Linked DNA regions of Mus musculus: region 2 is reported to be linked to region 1. Evidence: microRNA targets listed by miRTarBase, many of them from high-throughput screens and not tested one by one. Region 1 holds a microRNA gene; the other region holds the end of a gene's coding sequence.

Region 1 (4,000 bases):
AGGCCATTGACTTGTTTGAGTTTATTTTATATCCAGCTACTTCACCGAAGCTGTTTATCAGGTTTAGGAGTTCTCTGGTAGAATTTTTAGGGTCACTTATATATACTATCATATCATCTGCAAAAAGTGATATTTTGACTTCCTCTTTTCCAATTTGTATCCCCTTGATCTCCTTTTGTTGTCGAATTGCTCTGGCTAATACTTCAAGTACTATGTTGAAAAGGTAGGGAGAAAGTGGGCAGCCTTGTCTAGTCCCTGATTTTAGTGGGATTGCTTCCAGCTTCTCTCCATTTACTTTGATGTTGGCTACTGGTTTGCTGTAGATTGCTTTTATCATGTTTAGGTATGGGCCTTGAATTCCTGATCTTTCCAAAACTTTTATCATGAATGGGTGTTGGATCTTGTCAAATGCTTTTTCTGCATCTAACGAGATGATCATGTGGTTTTTGTCTTTGAGTTTGTTTATATAATGGATTACATGATATCTTCCATTTCAATTAAACATGTATTACGCAGGTGCTGGCCTACACCCTTAATCCCAGGATATTAGAAAGAGGCCATATCTGTGACTTTGAGGCAAGCCTGATCCACAGATCCAGCTCCAGGGTAACCAGGGCTACAGAAAGAAAACTAGTATAGAAAAAATTTAAAATATTACAAAACAAATAAAAATTATATAGCAAACAAAATTTTTGCCAGTATTCCCAAAATAATAATAATAATAATAATAATAATAATAATAATACCCTAAGAATCACAGTAACTAACAATTCTTTCTTGGTCTTTTAACTTTTGCTAACATAGAAACTTTTACATGTTTAAGATATTTTCTATTTAACAGGATCATATCCAGAAGGAATATTTAAGAATAAGGGAAAATAATTTCTTGGTCTTAAAAAAAAAAATAAAGTGCTGCATTTTATGTATCTATATTAGAAGTACCTTAAATTGTGTAGTTTCTATTTTTGTGTAGTACAAAATAATTATTCATATCTTTATATTTTTGATGCTTTCTATTCTGGGTGAAAAATAGATGACTTAAGTAAATAAAAATAACAAATTTCTATGTGTTAACTTATATTCTGTAATATGCATTTACATGAAGTTTTCTTATTTTAAATGGAGTGTTATGAGAAACTATTTTTCAAATAAATTTATAAATATTACCTGTTTATTAAAACTCATGTGTTGAAGGAACAATATCTGTGGTTTCATTAATTACTTGAGCAATGGTGGGGAAAAGATATATACAAAGAGCAAGGTGACATTAATGTAATTCACTTGCATTTTCATGATTCTGTGAGAGTCACTTCTGTAAATATAGGTAGATAATATAAAGTCAAAAAGATCATATAGAATATCTGTGGTAACAAACTACAAGGCCGTGGGTCAGACAACCTTCAGCCTAAAATGGAAATGCTTGGAAGTTGGTGTGCTTTGTACTGTCAAGGAGGAAGGAGGGGTTTGGTTAAACCTTTTTTGCACTGCAACAAAGTTATTGGTTCATATTAATGAATCAGTTTGGTATAACTGGAAAAATAATGGAAAAAAGAGAAAACTTTGTCTGTAATTGGAATTTGCTCATGTTTTTGTCCCTTCCTCTCTCCTTTCATAAACAATTTTCTGGGAAAGAATATAAGCTTTTATGCACTGCCCATGTGATAATTAATTGTTTAATGTCCTTGAGATAAGTACTGCCTGTGATGGATGAAGAGCCATTTAGCTTTAGCTTTTAAAAGAATGACGTCGACCACTTCAGTGACTGATACTTTTTTTTGTAACCTGTGTTGTTTGTTATGCTTACATAATTTATCAAGAGCCTCCAGAAACTCCACGTCACCTGCTCCTCAGATCAGAAGGTGACTGTGGCTTTGGGTGGATATTAATCAGCCACAGCACTGCCTGGTCAGAAAGAGCAAGTGTCCTAGCCTTTTACCTCATGACACCTTGTGGGTCCATCCAACGTAGGTACAAAGGGAACTGCGTGTGTTGGACTGGAATGGCCAGCATGCCTCAGGTGAGATGAATGGAACGTTCAACCCATGTCTGGAAGCTTCTCTTTTTTCACAGAAACCAAAGGTTTGATTATGAGTGTCTTTGTTACTCCTTCTCTGTTCTTTAACATTTTAGGCTGTAAAGGGAAAATAACTTGTGGTTATGATTGGGAATTAGAAATCCACAAGAAAATTAAACTGTAAGTTTCATGTATTATCTAGCATGCATGCTATTCATGTATTTGCATTAAACATGAGCATGGTCTTCATTCAAGGTGACAAAAAAATGTACTGGAAGACAATTTTTTTTTTCACTTTCAGAAGTAGAGCAGGGTTATGGTAGGAAGCATGGTTGCCATGCCAAATAACACAAACCCGCTGTTCTAACAGTGGTTCTTACTGTTGATAAAGTGAAAGCCCAGATGTGTATTAATCAATATTCTCAGAAGCAATCAGTTCAGCAGGTTTTTAAGCTCAGGAAAACCTGAGAATAATACTGAAGCTCTCTAGGAAAGTCTTTGCTGGAGAGAAAAGCAATTACTTGGTAAAGGAGTAGAGGTGGGAGGTGAGCCAAAGGAAAATTTTGTATTTTGTAATTTTTTCCTAAATTTGGACCTGCTCCAACTTAGTGTAATTAAACAGGCAGCGATTGCCAAAAATTAAATATGAACAAAAATGAAAAGACAAGATGTTTGAAGGGAAGACTAGAGGCATCTGGTATGAAGAAAAAAGTCAATAATATGTTGAGCTGAGATGAAACATAACTAAACCATGAACGTTTGCAGGCAATGGTTGGCAAGGTATTTCTACAGGACTATGGGCCTAACAGCAACTTTGGTTGAAGTTTTAATTTTGATTGCATTTGATTTTCAGCCAACATGATAAACCATTTCTCCCCTTAAGTAACAGTTGAAGATTGTGTTAATATTTAGAAAGTCAAACTCTCTTGTAGGTGTACATTAATGGAAAATGACTTTGGATATTTTGTATCAGCTATTTACAATTCATCAACATGAAAGCCAAGAATGGAAAAATCATTTTTAAGTCTTGCTGCAATGTCTCTTCTCCACAAAAGATTCTCTGGTTTGATGATGACTAGTTTGATGATCCTGATTATCTTTCAAATATTTAGATAAATTAATTTGTAGCAATCTGAGAACTATTCTGTAGATACACTTTTTAAATTCAAGAGAATTATTAATATATAGTCTCTTTTAAAAGTTTGATCAGGAAAGATTCGGGAGCAGAAACATTGTGTTTGATTAAGGGCAACACATCTAGTTTGCTAAACTGTATTATCTAATGAGAGAGGAAAAAGGATTAAAAATAGATCTGATAATCTTTCCTGATCTTTTGTGTATTTTAGAGAACTCTGTCATCAATGGTTTTCCTTTACTACAACCTATTATCTTGTACAGAAACCAGCTTCATTCTAAGAAGAAAAGAAGAGTCAAGAAATTGGAGAAAACCTGCAATTTGATTTCTCTACCAAGTCCTAAGAAAGGGTTTCCTCTAAAGCCCAAACGTTTCTAACTTCAAGCTGAGATTTATTTTCTATTGTGACAATTTGGGTTACATTTCATTTTTATATATTCACATACAAGGAATTCTGTGTTGCAGACTCTATTGTCTGAGATTTCCACTTATCCTTACTATTATGGGACCAATCCTTGAAGTTGCGTGTTAGGATCATGCATGAGGTTCATGAACGGGCACATCTCATTGGTTAGAATCTATGCATACATTTTTCTGAAAATTTACATTTTATTAATGATAAATCCATCAATTTGTATGATTTTTACTTAATTTTTAAAAGTACTTTTTGAGAAAGGTTCACACTCTCTTGCTTAGGTTTTACTAGAATTTACTGGGTGCAACTGACTGACTAACCTACAAGCTTATAGCAAACTAGAAGCTTCTGAATTCTGAGTGCTGATGTTAAAGGCATGTATTGCCACAACCATCTAGTTTATTCTTTTGAAGTTTTTAAATCATTACCTTTTGAG
Region 2 (4,000 bases), not on the chromosome of region 1:
CAGCATGCCCAAGCCCCTGTCTCCCCAAGGGATCTGCTCCTAGACCACCAGACAGTCTTCAGCCAGTGTCCAGCCCTGCAGACCTCCTCTCCATATAAGCAGGCTGGCCCCACCCCCCAAACCTGGATCAGGCAAGATTCCCAGGGACAGAAAACTGAGCCCCTGCAGGCACTGCCAGAAGGCCCTGCCCACTGCCCTAAGTCCAAAGTGGAAGAGCTCCCCGATGGCCTGTGCTCCTCAGCCAGCACCCTGGAGGGACTCAGCGTCTCAGATGACACCTGTGCCTCTGAGCATAGTGTCCGTGTGCCAGATTCTGTGGGTACCTCCCCAGAAGTCATGAATGGCACTGGACACCCCATACTTGAGCGGGGCCAGCTGAATGGGAAGCGCGACACCCTCTGGCTAGCACTGAAGGAGACCATCTATGACCCAAACATGCCCAATTCTCACCACAGCAGCTTATCCTGGAAGGGCCGTGGAGGGCCAGGCGATATCAGCCCTGTGATGCTTCCCAACAGTCAGCCAGATCTCCCAGATGTTTGGCTCCGTAGGCCCAGCACCTACACCTCTGGCTACAGCAGCTGAGAGAGGCCAAGGAAGGCCAGACCAGGGTCCACAACCCTGTTGGTGAAGATAAGGCAGATGCCACACTAGCCTAGAGCCTGAAGGTATTTCTCCCTATTGACATGATGTCTTACCCTCCAAGTATGGATTCTAAACCCTGCCAGATGTTCTAGCCTTGATCTCTTTGCTACTTACCCCTGCATCTGGAGGATTCAGTGGGAGGGCCTTGCAAGGTAATACCAGGCTCTCCCTGTGACCAACTAAGGACTCATCTGTCCCCACAGTGCCAACAAGGACCCCTACTCTGGAAAGGAGGGAGGCCAGATGTGCAGTTCCAGGTATTGGGGAGGCTGATCAGCTGTCTCCCGGGTGACAAGAAGTTCAGTGACGCTAAGGTACTCCATCTTTGGGATCCAGTTGGAGTATCTCACTGACTAGAAAAACCCTTAAGAACCTCCACAGCCTATTGAATCTCATCCCTTCTCATTGGCTCTTAATCGGGACACTTCAGTTCTTGGGAAGCTTCTCTGGGCTGGAAGTGAACACGGGCCTCTGTCCTGCACTGTCCTGTTCTGCTCACACTCACCAGTGTGACTAGAAGCTCTCCAAAAGCAGGACAGAGGTGGATGACAAGAGAGAAGCAGGAGACAGGAAGGTCGGCTTTGGAGTATCCCTAAATTCCAAGATTCCCCCATAGGACGCTGACTCCAGAATGTTCCCCTGTAAGTGAGCAGTAGTTACCCCTTACCATTGCCACACCTGCCAGTCTTCTTGGACCTTTGCAAAGTTACTCCACAGTGGCCTGCAGTTGGTCAAGACACTGAGAATGGTTGATTGATTGTCCCCCAAAGTCATGTCACTGGGTAGCAGCAGGATTCTCTCCTGACTCATGCTGCCACTATAGCTCCCTGTCTCCTCCTGAGTGTGAGCTTCAGGGCCCTGGGCCCCTGGCTGTCTTGGTCCTTTGCTTCTGGCAGTTACCCAGTCTCTTTGCTTGAGCCTCTCTTTGTGAGCCCTCCCTCCCCTTGGGGCCTCCACCTCCAGAAAGAGTTGTAGTCTGAGTAGACCGGAGAGTTCCTCATTTCCTTTGAGTTTCCCCGCTCTGAAACTCTCTGAGATGCCTACTAGCCATGGGCCTACCGGGTCACAGGCAGCCGAGCTGAAGCTTAGGCTTCAAGGATGTGCCTCTTTCATGGCTGAGGAGTACAGACAGGCTTTGCCAGAAGAGGTACGAAGGGACAGAAGAATGTGAACAGAATCTAGTTAAGACAAGAACACAAAGTTGCTCTTGTGGAGTTGTCCAGGACCCTGAAGTCTAGGTATCAGGTCCTCAGTTTCTGAAGACTAGGCCTCCCAGTAAGGTTGCTTGACGGTGTCACTGATCAGTGGCAGAGTGCTCTCCTGACTCATCCTGCCACTATGGCTCCCTGTCTCCTCCTGACCAACTGCCTGCTTCAGGGCCATTAGCTTTCTCCACCCAAAGCACTCATGTGACACAGCTCAAGACACCAGGCACCATCTGCAAGTTTACTGAACACCTGCATTGGAAAGGGTGTTGTAAGGGAGAGAGACATGGAACGGAGAACTGGCCTCCTGCTGGGAAGCAGGCATTAGTGGGTCAGGGTTACTGCCGAGCTCAGGTGCCCAGCAATAGGTGACCGGGAAGATCTCGTGGAGAGGGATGGGTTTGAGCTGGGCTTCAGAAGATCAAGCAGATCAGACAGGAGGGAGCTTGGTGATCCAACTCCAAGGGTCCCCTAAGGACTGTTCTTTCAATAAGCTCCTGTGTCTAAAACTCCTGCTCCGAGGGGTGTGAGTTTAGGGGTGCTGCTAGCTCAGCTTCCCTTTCTAGTGCAGATCTCCAGGGGTCTCCAGGTCCCTGGGAATATCCATAGATCTTGGCATGAAGACCACCAATCTAGGCCATTTTATATAGGAGTATCAGAAAGGAGTTTTCCAGTGCCAAACAATCTAAGGCAAGGCTAGAGGCAAGCCAGAGGACACTTTTGTTTTATTTTGTTGAGTTCCTGTGTTATTGAGACCTATCTCCCACCCCAAGTAGCCCAGGACAAGTGGAGCAGAAACTCAGATGAGAACATAAGAATGTGGGAAAGACAGAAGACAGTTTTCCCTCAGTATCCATGGAGAACTGGTTCCAGCACACCCCGCACCTTCCAGCATACTAAAATCTGAGGATGCTCAAGTCCCTCGTGTAGAATGGTGTAGTATTTGCATATAATGATGCATATTCTCCTATATTTAAATCGTCTCTAGAGTACTTATAATGCCTAATATGATGTAAATGCTATGTCAGTCCTTACACCGTGTTGTTGTAATAATGACAAGAAAAATAATATGTGTGTGGTGAGTTTTTGTTTCTTTCTTTTATTTTTTTTCTGTTTCAATGTATTCAGGTTGGGTGTGGTTTACACACACACACACACACACACACACACACACCGAATATTCTGGGTCTGTGTGGCTGGTAAGGCCACAGAGAGGGCTGTGTAAGCCAATTCCTTATCAGGTAACTAATTTGATAAATGTCTCCTGATCAAGGAGGGCTCCGTTCGTGTACCTGTAGTGTCAGCTATGTGGGAAGCTGAAGCTGGAGGATTGCTTGAGCCCAGAAGACCAAGTACAGCTTGGACAACATAGTAAGTCCATGTCTAAAAAGAGGAGGGAAAGAGAGAGAGAGAGAGAGAGAGAGAGAGAGAGAGAGAGAGAGAGAGAGAGAGAGAGAGAGAGAGAGAGAGAGGAGTTAACTGTTGATATTTGGAAGCCTAAGCAGCCACAAGTATCTAATTTAAACCTAATGAGTGGGGAGTAGGGGGACATTCCTCAGGTTGTACACAAATAGCATTCCACTTTTCCAGCTTGTGGCTATTCAACAGAATCCTGGCTTAAACACACCATGTACTGTGTGCTTCTCCATCACACAGCTGGGCTGGGAAGATGGGTCACTGAGAGGATAAAGTGACTTAAGTTCCTTAGCACAAGCAGTCTGTCTCAGACTGGGTATAGCTTAGTGGTACACCACATGGTTAGCATACAGGAGACACTGTGGTCCATCTCCAGCACCCCACTCCGCAAAACTTTACCTTAACTCAAGAGGAGAGTACAGTAACTTCTCAGCAGTTGACCTTGGCTTTTCCACTGTGTGTTGTGGGAAGACTACAGTTCATGGACCCTGAAAAGTTGCTCCTTCAGCTAGGTGTGGTCATGCATGCCAGTGATCCCAGAACTTGGGAAAGGGAGGTAAGAGGATCAAGAGTTCAAGGCCGTCCTCTTAGAGCTGGTTTGAAGCCAGCTACAGGATACTCTGCCTCAAGCCTCAAGAAGCTCTCCCACAAAGAATCTGCAAGCATGCTCTCCCCTCTCCCGTCTTCCCTCTCTCACAATCTTCAGAGTGTGGGAAGGGTGCATGTGTTGGCAT

The links. The annotated mature microRNA mmu-miR-383-5p reads AGAUCAGAAGGUGACUGUGGCU and lies in region 1 at 1,850-1,871, shown strand. An mRNA with a match to its seed (bases 2 to 7 or 8) in the 3' UTR can be bound and repressed. Matches are read on the target gene's strand: a 7mer-m8 pairs with bases 2 to 8, a 7mer-A1 pairs with bases 2 to 7 and ends in A, and an 8mer does both.
Region 2: the mRNA of Disp2 is a reported target of mmu-miR-383-5p. Seed matches in the 3' UTR shown: 7mer-A1 at 915-921 and 7mer-A1 at 1,943-1,949.

The regions. Positions count from the first base shown.
Region 1 is chr8:38,250,049-38,254,048 of GRCm38, reverse strand. It overlaps Mir383 (microRNA 383), which reads left to right and starts at 1,847; the gene lies at 1,847-1,916. All of the region lies in intron 1 of Sgcz (sarcoglycan zeta), which reads left to right.
Region 2 is chr2:118,792,242-118,796,241 of GRCm38, forward strand. It overlaps Disp2 (dispatched RND tramsporter family member 2), which reads left to right. Exons shown (of 8, transcript NM_170593.3): 8 at 1-2,934. The coding sequence ends at 585. Among named protein-coding and RNA genes, the nearest start is that of Gm38629, 4.5 kb to the right of the region's middle.